Linked DNA regions of Rattus norvegicus. The protein of the gene in region 2 interacts with the protein of the main gene of each other region in a biochemical or structural test. Links are inferred from orthologs where the notes say so. Each region holds a gene or a part of one and is shown on either strand. Other genes may lie near its edges.

What was found.
Region 1: the proteins of Sumo1 (region 2) and Pias3 form a complex in vitro, tested with the Homo sapiens proteins (2 studies listed by BioGRID and IntAct, with this or other methods). The link is inferred for Rattus norvegicus from reciprocal best matches to the Homo sapiens genes SUMO1 and PIAS3.
Region 3: the proteins of Sumo1 (region 2) and Pias1 form a complex in vitro, tested with the Homo sapiens proteins (6 studies listed by BioGRID and IntAct, with this or other methods). The link is inferred for Rattus norvegicus from reciprocal best matches to the Homo sapiens genes SUMO1 and PIAS1.

The regions. Positions count from the first base shown.
Region 1 is NC_086020.1:186,927,913-186,930,895, reverse strand, and holds the end of Pias3 (E3 SUMO-protein ligase PIAS3), read right to left. Parts: intron 2,961-2,983; coding exon 2,792-2,960; intron 2,639-2,791; coding exon 2,505-2,638; intron 2,344-2,504; coding exon 2,306-2,343; intron 1,831-2,305; coding exon 1,564-1,830; 3' UTR 604-1,563; downstream 1-603. Other genes in the region: Nudt17 (nucleoside diphosphate-linked moiety X motif 17), read left to right, coding at 90-249. UniProt on the Homo sapiens protein: Functions as an E3-type small ubiquitin-like modifier (SUMO) ligase, stabilizing the interaction between UBE2I and the substrate, and as a SUMO-tethering factor.
Region 2 is NC_086027.1:68,599,897-68,604,025, forward strand, and holds the start of Sumo1 (small ubiquitin-related modifier 1), read right to left. Parts: upstream 2,908-4,129; 5' UTR 2,867-2,907; coding exon 2,855-2,866; intron 1-2,854. UniProt on the Homo sapiens protein: Ubiquitin-like protein that can be covalently attached to proteins as a monomer or a lysine-linked polymer.
Region 3 is NC_086026.1:72,306,709-72,310,358, forward strand, and holds part of Pias1 (E3 SUMO-protein ligase PIAS1), read right to left. Parts: intron 2,930-3,650; exon of another isoform or gene 1,696-2,929; intron 276-1,695; coding exon 1-275. UniProt on the Homo sapiens protein: Functions as an E3-type small ubiquitin-like modifier (SUMO) ligase, stabilizing the interaction between UBE2I and the substrate, and as a SUMO-tethering factor. Catalyzes sumoylation of various proteins, such as CEBPB, MRE11, MTA1, PTK2 and PML.

The sequences.
Region 1 (2,983 bases), on a different chromosome or scaffold from region 2:
TTCTGCAATAGTTGGGAGGATTAAATGTCTCAATGTACTAAAGTTCATTGTAAGCTACAAGGCACAACCTAGGCACTGTCATAATCCAGCACAACTGAACTGAAGGACGATGGAGGAACCCAGCCTCTGGTCCTGCCCGTGTCCACGCTCATGCGAGTAACCCCAGCCACAGCAGAAGAGGACAAAGAAAGGGTCAGCACTGGAACCAAGTTTGCCCTCAAGCTCTGGCTGCAACATCTGGGCAGATGAAGGTAAGGAACAACTTGTGGGTAGCACAGCCTCGGTGCGGGATGGCCTGGTGTTCTTAGGGACGTCAAAGAGACAAAGGGAGAGCAACTGCTCTTGGCTATGCTTGTGTAAATGCCTCCACTCCCTCCCAGGTAAAAATGAAGCTCACATGGACCCCAGACCAGCAAATGAAGGCAGGCAGCCGGTGAGGTGGTCTGGCAACCTGAGACCTGAGTCCAGTAGCTGGGATCGATCTCTTTCAAGATGGAAGGAAAGGTCCTACTCCATAAAGTTGTCCTCTGACTTTCACATGCACCCATGGCGCGCATGCCCGCATGCACAGTAATAAACATTTTAAGTGTTCTTTTTTTTTTTTAAGTGAAAGGATAGAACATGGACCCTCTGCCCCACAAACCATGGGTCTGGAAAACAAGGTACAACATCTCTCCCCTCCATGACGCTCACAGAACATTCACAACCTTTATTGTAGGCGAGAACTCTGCTACAGCTCTGGGGATAAAAAGTGAAATCACATCACAGGGCTTTGGCCCTGAAGGGGCCTGAGTATTGGGAAGGAGAACAGAGCCCCCATGTCCCATAAAAGGTGCAAGAACAATCTAGGCCTGAGCACAGGTCACTAGAAGCTTAGGCCCTTGACTGTTTAGCATAAAAACATTGTGAACTTAAATATATAAATAGAGAGACCCAGGCAGTAGGCAGGCCACGCCCTGTTCCCGAGCCCCTGGGGATCACAACTAAGGCCTTGTTTCCTCCTCGAGTCACACTGGGAAGTAAAAGGCAAGGGAAGTCATCTTTGGATAATTTGGAGTTTTCTTATTTATGTACAAAAAAGAAATCTGCAACCCAAAATAGAGTTGTCTGTCCATCTCTGACCTGCCACCTGACAGTATGGCCAAAGAGAAGGGAATGGACGAAAAAGAACAGATGTTTGGGTTTGGGTACGGAAAGGAGTCCTGGGGGAGGGGGCAGGAAACTGCCCTTTCCCCAAGAGGCTGAAGATCTGGTGAAGGGTGAGGAACCCCTACCCTTCCATCTGCCTCCCACTGCCTAGGTTACCCTACCCAAAGGAATGTGCTACATCAAAGAACACTTCCAAAAACAGACCCCAATGTCCTTTTTCAAAAGGTTAAATGTTAACCCTTTGAGTACTGGCCTTGTTAGGCAGTGATAAGGCCAAAAGCAGGTGTCCATGAAGATCTGGCCTGGCCTTTGACCAATGACCCCTGAGGGATCAGAGCAGCCAGGGGTTGGGAACCCACAATGTATCTGCTCAGTGCTAGGGCCAGTAGAAATTGATTTTGCAATCCAAATAACTCAGTCCAAGGAAATGACGTCTGACCGACAGCCAGTCAAAGAGGGACCGGAAGGCAGGGGTCCTCCATGCCCTTCCCTCAAGGAACTCCCAGGAGCCACAATGCTGCTGACACGGCCAGGAGCGGGTGCTGGAGTGGCGCTGCGGTGAGAGCTCCCCAATGTGGGGGCCAGTGGGCCCAGGAAGTGGGGAGGGGTTCCCCGGAATTGGAAGAAGTGGCCAAGGGTGTCCTGCTCATCTAGTGAAGTGATAACTGAAGGGCTGTAGTGCTGGAGGGACAAAGGAGACAGCTTGACGTGTCATCTTGACTCAGCACCTCACCCACCTCAAAACCACTTCACGGGGTTCCAACCCTCACGGATCTCATGACCATGATGTTCTTGAGAAGAGAAGCTGAGGACCTGACTCTTCCTTACTCCCCCAAGACCCTTCTCCTGTGCCTTGCCTTGGGACAGCCCCTTTGACATCCAGGGCCTTGTGGGTGTCTGAAATGTGTGGAACATCCACTGGGGAAGGTTCTAGTGCATGCGGGGGTGAGTGAGCAGGAAGAGAGGTGCTAGGAAGGCACAGGTGTGAATATGAAGTGATGGGGGCGAGGGGTAAGGAAGACAGGTGCCATGTTCTCCCCTCGCAGAAAGACACTGTGAAATCCCTAAGGAAACCGGGCAGGGGAAGAACATATCATCAGTGTCTACAAAAAGGACTCTCCTGAGATCTTGCATCTTCCTAGACATGACCACTTACCTGACTCTCAGTCTGAAGGAAAGAAAATAAATCTAAACCTGGTAGGAAAAGAAAAATCAAAATCAACCCCCTTCTGACTCCTTCACCACAAGAAAAAAAAAAAAAAAATTCCCCCTGTCCCTAGGGCTCTGCAAAGAAACAGGTCTGGACAGGGTACGAGGGCAGGACCCTCCCCTCCACCTTAGGGTCAGCGTTCTACCTTGGATGTCAGCCCCCAGCGGGAAGGCAGGTGGGTACTCATGTAGTGGGAGACTAGACAGGAAATCACTGCCCAGTGTACCCATTGCAGGGCTCCGCAGCACCGAAGACGGCTGGTGACCAGAGGTCAGGGCTCTGTAGTGGGGAGAAAGAGCTGGAGAAACCAGCCAAACACGGCTGCCCAAGGTCCCATCGTCCCTGCCCTTCCCCATCCCATAGCTTGCCCGGTGGCCAAAAGGCAGTTCTGACATCTGCCCCCTCCGATACAGAAGCAGCCTTTTCTCATACCCTTTGCTTCCAGGAAGGGCTGGAATGGCAGCCGAGGTAACAGGGCAGTGCTTCTTGGTGGGGGGCAGATCTTCCTCATCTGATGAGCTTTCGATTGTCAAGTCAATGACTTCAACCCTCTTCTTATTCTCTGACTGATTTCCCTCCTGGACTGGGCTATACTGGAGACCTATGGGTGGTTCAGAAGGCTGT
Region 2 (4,129 bases):
AAACTATAAGGAACGGGAAATAATGGTTCAAATTAATCTTATCATTTTGATATGCTTCTGGTTTTAAAGAAATGTGAAATTAGGCTAAACAAATTTCTATTAATGGTTATAGAATGATCCTCATTCTTTGGGAAATCATGTACCAATGATGGGACCTATAGTACCTTCTTTTTAAAAAAACTGCATAATTCAGTGAATTCTCAAGGTTTAGGCATTAGATTGTGATCTATTTTAGATATAAAGATCCACTCATTTTAAACTGAAATTATGGCAAGACACAGTGGCATACACATACACCTGTAATCCCAGGACTCAGGAAAGTAAAAACAGAAGGATCACTGCCAGCCTAGATACACAGTGAGAGCATCTCAAAACAAAGAGAAAAGCTGAAACTATTACTCAATGTGACTATTTTAAGCACAAGATACAAGCTTCTAAGAGTTGCCTCAGAAAATAAAATGTGCATGGGTACTGGAGGGCATCTTGTATTCAAGTCAAGCACATTATCGAACCCCCCAACTTGAAAAAGTACCCTCTAAGGCCACCTTCTGAAGACAGCTCAGTCTCAGGCTGTTGCTATTACACACAGTACTTGGGGATTCCTACTCTCACTTATAAACCTCTTACAGGCAAGGATTCACTTAACCGTTTTCTCCAAATCTTTAACACTCAATACTGAACTTGTTCTGGGAACTAAGATTAATGTTATCCATCAGCCTAAAGCAACAGCTCCCAAATCCATTATCACACTCTCAATGATTTAAAAACCTATCAACCCAGCTGTCGTGGTGGTATACACTCTGGGAGGCAGAGGCAAGGCAAGGAAAATCTGAGGCCAATCTGATCTACATAGCAAGTTCCAGGACAACTAAGGCTACACAGAGAAACCCTTGACTTGAACTAAATAAACCCCTAAAATGTTAGATACATTTTTATTACTTTTTTTAAAGACAAAAATTTTAAGAGTAGCAGCACTATTTCCTATGCAAATTGCTTTAATGTGTAGCTCAATTTAAAAAAAAAGACTTGTTTTGCCAACTGTGGTGGTAGACATCTTTAATCCCAGCACTCAGGAAACAGACACAGGAGAAACTGAGTTCCAGGCCAGGAAAAGCTACATAGTTAAGACCCTGCCTCAAAAAAAAAGATTTGTTCTACTTTTTTGTCATGTTTCTAAAATTTTCATTGAACATCCATGATAGAATGAGAAACACACACACACACACACACACACACACACACACCAAGTGTGGCAGCATAACTCTGTAATCCCAGCTACTCTGCAAGGCTGAGGGAGTCCAAGTTCAAAGACAAGTGTGTTACAGTCCAACCTAGACAACTTAATGAAATGAAGTAAAAGGAGAAATGAGGGTTTAGTGCCTGCCTGGCAAGCACATGTGGGAGGCCCTAGGTCCAGCACCCAAAGACCCCAAGTGAGGTGAGAGAGTCCTAAGCAAGCATAGAGTGACTTTGCAGACTCCCTGAAACCTTGTGTCCTAGGGTCCTCTTTTCTTTCTTCATATCCTCACATAATGTAAGTTCAAACTAGAGCAAAACTAATCCTAAAACTTAAAACTCTTTCTGTATGTTGCCCTCTCATCTGGCTAACATGCTTTAAAAATAGAAGTCTGATGAAGCATAAGCGTTTACACAGCTGATCTCTCCTCTCTGGTAACTAAGTAAACAACTGTCATAAACAAATTATGGGCTTCATAAAGTCATTTCTAGCCCAAAAGATTAATAATCCAGATTATTAATAAGTAAATCCATCCCACAACTAATTTACAGTGTAGATAGGCTATAAAAATAGAACCACTATGGCCAGTCTGGGGTGGTTGCAAGCCTTTCATCCTCAGGAAACAGACAGGCGGATCTCTATAAACTGGAGGCCAGCCTCGTCTACAGAGGGAGTTCCAGGACAACCAGGCTACACAGAAAACCAACGTCTCAAAAAAAAAAAAAAAAAAAAAACCAACAAAAAAAATTTTAAAAAAGCTCAACTACAATGTAAAGTAGAATGAAAAAAGTTTGCTGAATTGTAACTAAAGAAGTAAAAATTAAAAAAAAAAAAAATACTCTGAAAATTAAGTCATCTGACCAAACAAAAGGAAAGCCAGACAAAAACCGTATGGATGGCATGTTGGTGGTGGCACTCTACGCAGTTTGTTGTTTCTCGGTTATTCTGAGCGCTCCTACAACTGGAGAGTTGATGGACCAATCCCGAGTAAGAAATGGAAAGTACAGAGAAAGAGTCGACCGCTCCGCACCCCCGGATGGAAAAATGACTCTGAAGTGGGCAAAGACGGACTGACCCTCCAGGCAAACACAACTGAAAAGCAGCGTCTCCTGGGTTCCCAGTCACCCCAAACAAGGATCCCTGCCCGCCCCCCACTCTCCGGGACCAAGAACCCAAAGTAGAATCGAGCTGCTTTTCAGGGCCACCTAGCCTCCCAGGCAGGGATTCTCTCCCGTTACATAACTGGGCCTAGGGCCTTGTTTCTGCCATCGGTCCTCTGAAAGGGAAACGGTCGTTTTCCCCCAGGTTGCTCTCACGGACAAGGGAGCGGGCCTGGGCCCCCAGCGAGCCCGAGAGAAACCTGGGAGCAGTCGAAAGAGACCCGGCGCTGGATGGCGTGGGGGTAGAGGCCTCCGAAAGGGCCGCGGAGGGTGCGTAAAACCCGGAGACCCTCGATCCCAGGCGGCTCGGCCCGACTCTGCCAGGCGCTCGGCGTCCCTCGCGGCCCCCTCCCCACCGGCAGCCCCCTCCCCCAACATCACCCCCTCCCCCCGCGCCCCATTCCAGGGGCTCAGCCAGCAGCCGACGGCCCTGAGCCCCAAGGCCGTGGCCCGGTACCTGGTCAGACATGGTGTCGGTGGATTCACCCGGGGGTCTCCGCACCACAGCGGCCTCCGGCAGGCAGAACCGCACTCTGAGGTTTACAAATCCGTCTCTTCTCCACAGCACAACACCGCGGCTGCAGGGACTTCCGCTACGTCTTGCGTCACTTCCGCAGCGCGCAGAGGAGAGTTTGGGAAGACGGGAAAGGGAAGCGGGAAAACGCCTTAGGGAATGCGGGAGATGAAATCGTCAAGGTTAAGCTACTTTCCTGGAGCAAGAGAACCGCTAGGTCTTCAGCGGGGCCGGGAAAACCGGCCCGCTGCCTCAGGCCTTAGGGAGACCAGCGCTTTGCCTGCAGGCTGTGTGTGTTTGGGGTCAAACTGACCGCTTAGGCTCCTCCCTGTTGGACATCTTGTACGCTTCTGAGGCCGGAACCAACTCTTCCTGAATATAGTGAATTCCCTGTATAATATCTTTATGGCCCCCTCTTGCTTGCTGCTGCCACATTCATGACTTTGATTACTAGAAATACAATAGTAACAAGTTTTCATTTTCTACAAGAGAGAAAGTGAAAGCGATTTGGAAGCCACTAGCATGTCAGAGTGAATGAAGTTAACCACAACGAGCTGAGTTATGGTGGCGTACTCCGAGTGATAGAGGCAAGCAGATCTCTGTGAGTTTGAGGCCATCTTGGTCTACAAAGTGAGTTCCGGGACAGCCAAGGCTACATGGAAGAACCCTGTGGGAGTCTAGGGGTGGGGCATGAAGAAACAACCCTTCCGGTCACATCTTTGGTTTTGTTTTGTGTTTTGAGGCAGGGTCTCACTAAGTAGCTCTGGCTATTATAGAACATTGCTAAGTCAACCAGACTGGCCTCCTCTTGCCTCTGCCTCCCCAGTGCTGAGATTAAAGACCTGGGCCACCACATCTCCAGCTCTAGAACAAAGTCTTGGTGGCTATAGATGACCAAAATGCTATTGAAAGTTGAAGTTGCAAGAGCTCCCTCCAGCTCATAAACTAGTTGCCTTACATCATAGACCTAAACATCTTCCTTTGAATACAGTGACCCTCTTGCACAAACATTCAGGGAAGATTAAGGTTATACTAAGTAAAGGGGGGAAAAATGAAAACTAAAGTAAGTCAAAAACCTTCACAGTACAAGACATTAATAAAATAATCTTTTCTGTAATTAGTAATGAGCCGATTATAAGTGGCCCAGCAATCAAAGAGCATTGGCTACTCTTCCAGAGGACTCAGGTTTGATTCCCAGCACCCGTATATGCATTCAAA
Region 3 (3,650 bases), on a different chromosome or scaffold from region 2:
TCGTAAGTGAGCTGTGGAATGGTGGATGGAGAAAGAGTCGCTGGCATAGGACTTGAATGTACGTTGGGGATAGACAAGTCCGCAGGTGTCATAATTTTCTGAGGGAACCGCCGCCTGTAGAGTTCTTTAATTTTCATTTGTACAGCAGGACTACAGCCAGCCTTTAACAAATGCAGGGCTTTTGTAAGAAGTTCGTGTTTGCGTCCGTGCTTGTTTCTCCCAGCGTAGCCCAACAGTACTTGGAGTTCAGAAACTCTAAGGCTCATAACCATTTGCTTAGGGAAAAAAGTAAAATGTAAAATATTAGTATCTGAAACCATAATTTACAATTTTAAAGTTTGTATTTAGCCTCTTCATATGGTTTGCTTAAATGCCATCCATTTTACCATTCTATTTAAACAAAGTTTAACTAATTAATAGCAAAGAAACTTTAAAAGTACTAGATATAAGTTTAGGGATTTCCATGTGAGATTGATTATGAGAGCCAGGATCCAGTTTATACTATGCAGGACCACATCGCGCTTTATCCTACTGTTTAGCAGTATCAACAAGCACTTCATAATTCTCCAGAAGCACAGACTGCGGACTGCAATAAGTAGTAACGTGCCCTCAGGAGTCTTCCCACTTTCTTGGGGAAAAACCTGTTAAGTATATTAAAGCCAGATCTCCACTTCAAAACTAGGTATTCACATTATCAATACTGCTCTATACTAACTCTAGAATTCAAGGAACAGTCGCTATCTTCCTGTGCTTGCTTACCTCTTAGTCTTTGCTTCTATACAGCTAGCTGGCAGTCTCATCAGATGCTAAAGCTTGCACTTCTCATTTAAGCCATCAGGAATTCCATCTGTACAACCATACTAAGTGAAGCCACACAACAGAAATCTTCTTACCTTCATTAATCTGTGGTCTCAATTTACTTATCACTGTTCGCTACTTCCCCCCACCTTCTAAGAACATGGAGATCTGATCACAATCTCGCCATTTAAAGCAACAGAAAGGGGAACCAAAGACCACACTGCTACTTATGGAAGCCCTGTCTCTGACAGGAAATGCCAGGAAAGACACACACCTGCAAGCTTATATTCATTAAATCCTCTATTCCTTAACTGTTGGATTCTCTGGCCCCATATCAAACACCAGCATACACAGTGGCTGTGTTGCCTCCCTACCTTCCTGTACCGCTCATTATAAATACCCTCTTTCTTTTCTTTTTTTTTTTTTTTTTTTTGGTTCTTTTTTTCGGAGCTGGGGACCGAACCCAGGGCCTTGCGCTTCCTAGGTAAGCGCTCTAACCACTGAGCTAAATCCCCAGCCCCAATACCCTCTTTCTTGGCCAACACATTAGACCAATGGTTCTCACTAGTTGTGACCCTTTAACAGAGCTCCTCATGTTGTAGTGAGCCTTCCCCACCATAAAATCACTTTCATTGCTACTTCATAACTATACTTTTGCTAATGTTATGAACTGTAATGTAAATATCTTGTATTTTCCAATGGTCTTAAGTAACCCTTATGCAAGATTCATTTCAAGATTCCTTTGACTCCACCTTCCCTCCCAAAAGGGTCACAACCCACAGATTGAGAACCACTGCACTAAGGTAGCAGAATAGCCCCCAAAAGTGAGCAATGAATGACGTTCTCTAGTGCAATATAGATGATCAGTCAAAGATAAAGTCCTTCCACTGTTCCCACCTTCAGGACCAGCTTCACCAGCCTGTCCTAGCCGAGTGGAACTGTTTTACTGTCTATCTCTTCTAGCCATTTCTTGGGTATTTATCTCCACAATTATCCTGCTGCACTGTCATTTCTATCCATATGGCGACTCCTTGCCTGGACAGAGGGTCTCCAGGGCTGATGACTATTCTAGAACTAGGGCTGATGACTGTTCTAGAACTAGGACAGTCTATGACCATTTTATCTTCTGTATCTAGTACCGTTTGTTATTAACTATTTGGACAGTGAAGGAATGAACAAGAAAAGCAGGCAGAAGGAATGGAGGTGGCATGTGCTGTGGTAAATCATTCAAATCAATGTCCAAATTCTTGCACTCTGCAGAGGTATACAGAGATGTAACCCAGAGTTTGGGAACAAATTGCTGAGCATAATGGCCAGCAACTGAAACAGCAGCAATTGGGAGGCTGAGACAGGAGGATCTAAGTTTGAAGCTAGTTTGATATAGCTGTTTTCTTTTTGGATATTAACAAAGTCTGTAAATAGGACAACAATGGCATCTTCTCCCTACTCACTAAAACATCCAGGAAAAGTATAAAATAACTAGAAAAAAAGAACTTCCAGGCATAGTGGAACATAAGGGGAAGGGGACTGTATTGGCTCAAAATTCAAGGGTAAAATTCATTATGGTGGGGAAGTAACATAGAGAGGAGCTTAAAGCAGCTGACCACATCTCATTCAAAACTGAAAACAGAGCAAGGAATGCATTCATGCTATTCAACCCTTTTTCTCCATTTATAAATCCCAGAACTCACAGTTACTATTAACAGCCAGGGAATGGTATTGCCCACAGTGGGCAGGTCGTCCCACATTGATTAACAAAATCAAGATACTCCCCACAGGCATGTCTAGAGGCCCATTCCCAGGTGATTTTGGATTCTGTCAATTAACAAGAGCTAGTGGTCATCACATAGGCAAATGTTTTTGTTATAAAACGGGTAGGGAGGAGAGAACAACATGAAATTTTAAAGAGTAATAACTTCCCTTTTAATTCACTTCCATTCTCTAAGCCACAAACAAAAACAATTCAATAATTACCACAAATTTCAAAGATGGTAACTTTTGTCCTTAATGTGAGTATGAGTGTAGCACAGACGTATTATTGTATTTCTATGTATTGTCACTCACAATTTACATAAAGTAAAATCTCTTGCTTGAAGGAGCAAAGAAAAAGTTAAATGACAACATAAACCTGTCTGTCTCAAAAAAGGCAAAGCAAACAATAGCAACCATTAAAGCAGTAACTGACAAATATGCACTCAAAAGACAGCAGCTATCAAGTTAAGGCTCCTAGTTTGGATCTTTAAAATGAAGAGGACTTACTATCATAGTAAAAATATATGGAGGGGGAACAAACCACATGCCTTTAAATTGGGGGTGGGAATCAATTAAAAAATTGAACCAAGTTTACTTCAATTTCCATTTCAAGCTTCACCATTTGAACTTAAAAAAAGAAAAGTTATGGCTATGTGGGCTCAATTTACCATTAATTGCACCTGATAACCTTACACAGTGAAAGGAGAGGTGGTGTTTCTTGCTATTACTGGAACAGCTTTTGCACACTCTTAGGAGACAGTAATAAGCTCAGTATTTCAAAGAACTGAAGAAGGGGTCAGAAAAGGTCTAGCCAGCCATCTGAGGCATCACTCAAATGAAAGGCTGCAGAGAATTAATTCACGATGCAGAAGTCTTGACAACACACAGGAAAACAAATCATGTAAATATTTCTGAGATGTTGAAATGAGATATATTTTAATCTGCAATGTCCTTAAAACTCTTCATTTGTTAAAACTACTGCAAAATAAATACAACTAAGGATAACATTAACCACAAATGGCTTTTAGAAATCATCACCTCCTAGCGGATTCCAGCATTCTACTGATGAGATCCTTGGATGAAAAGAGTTCTGAGAATCC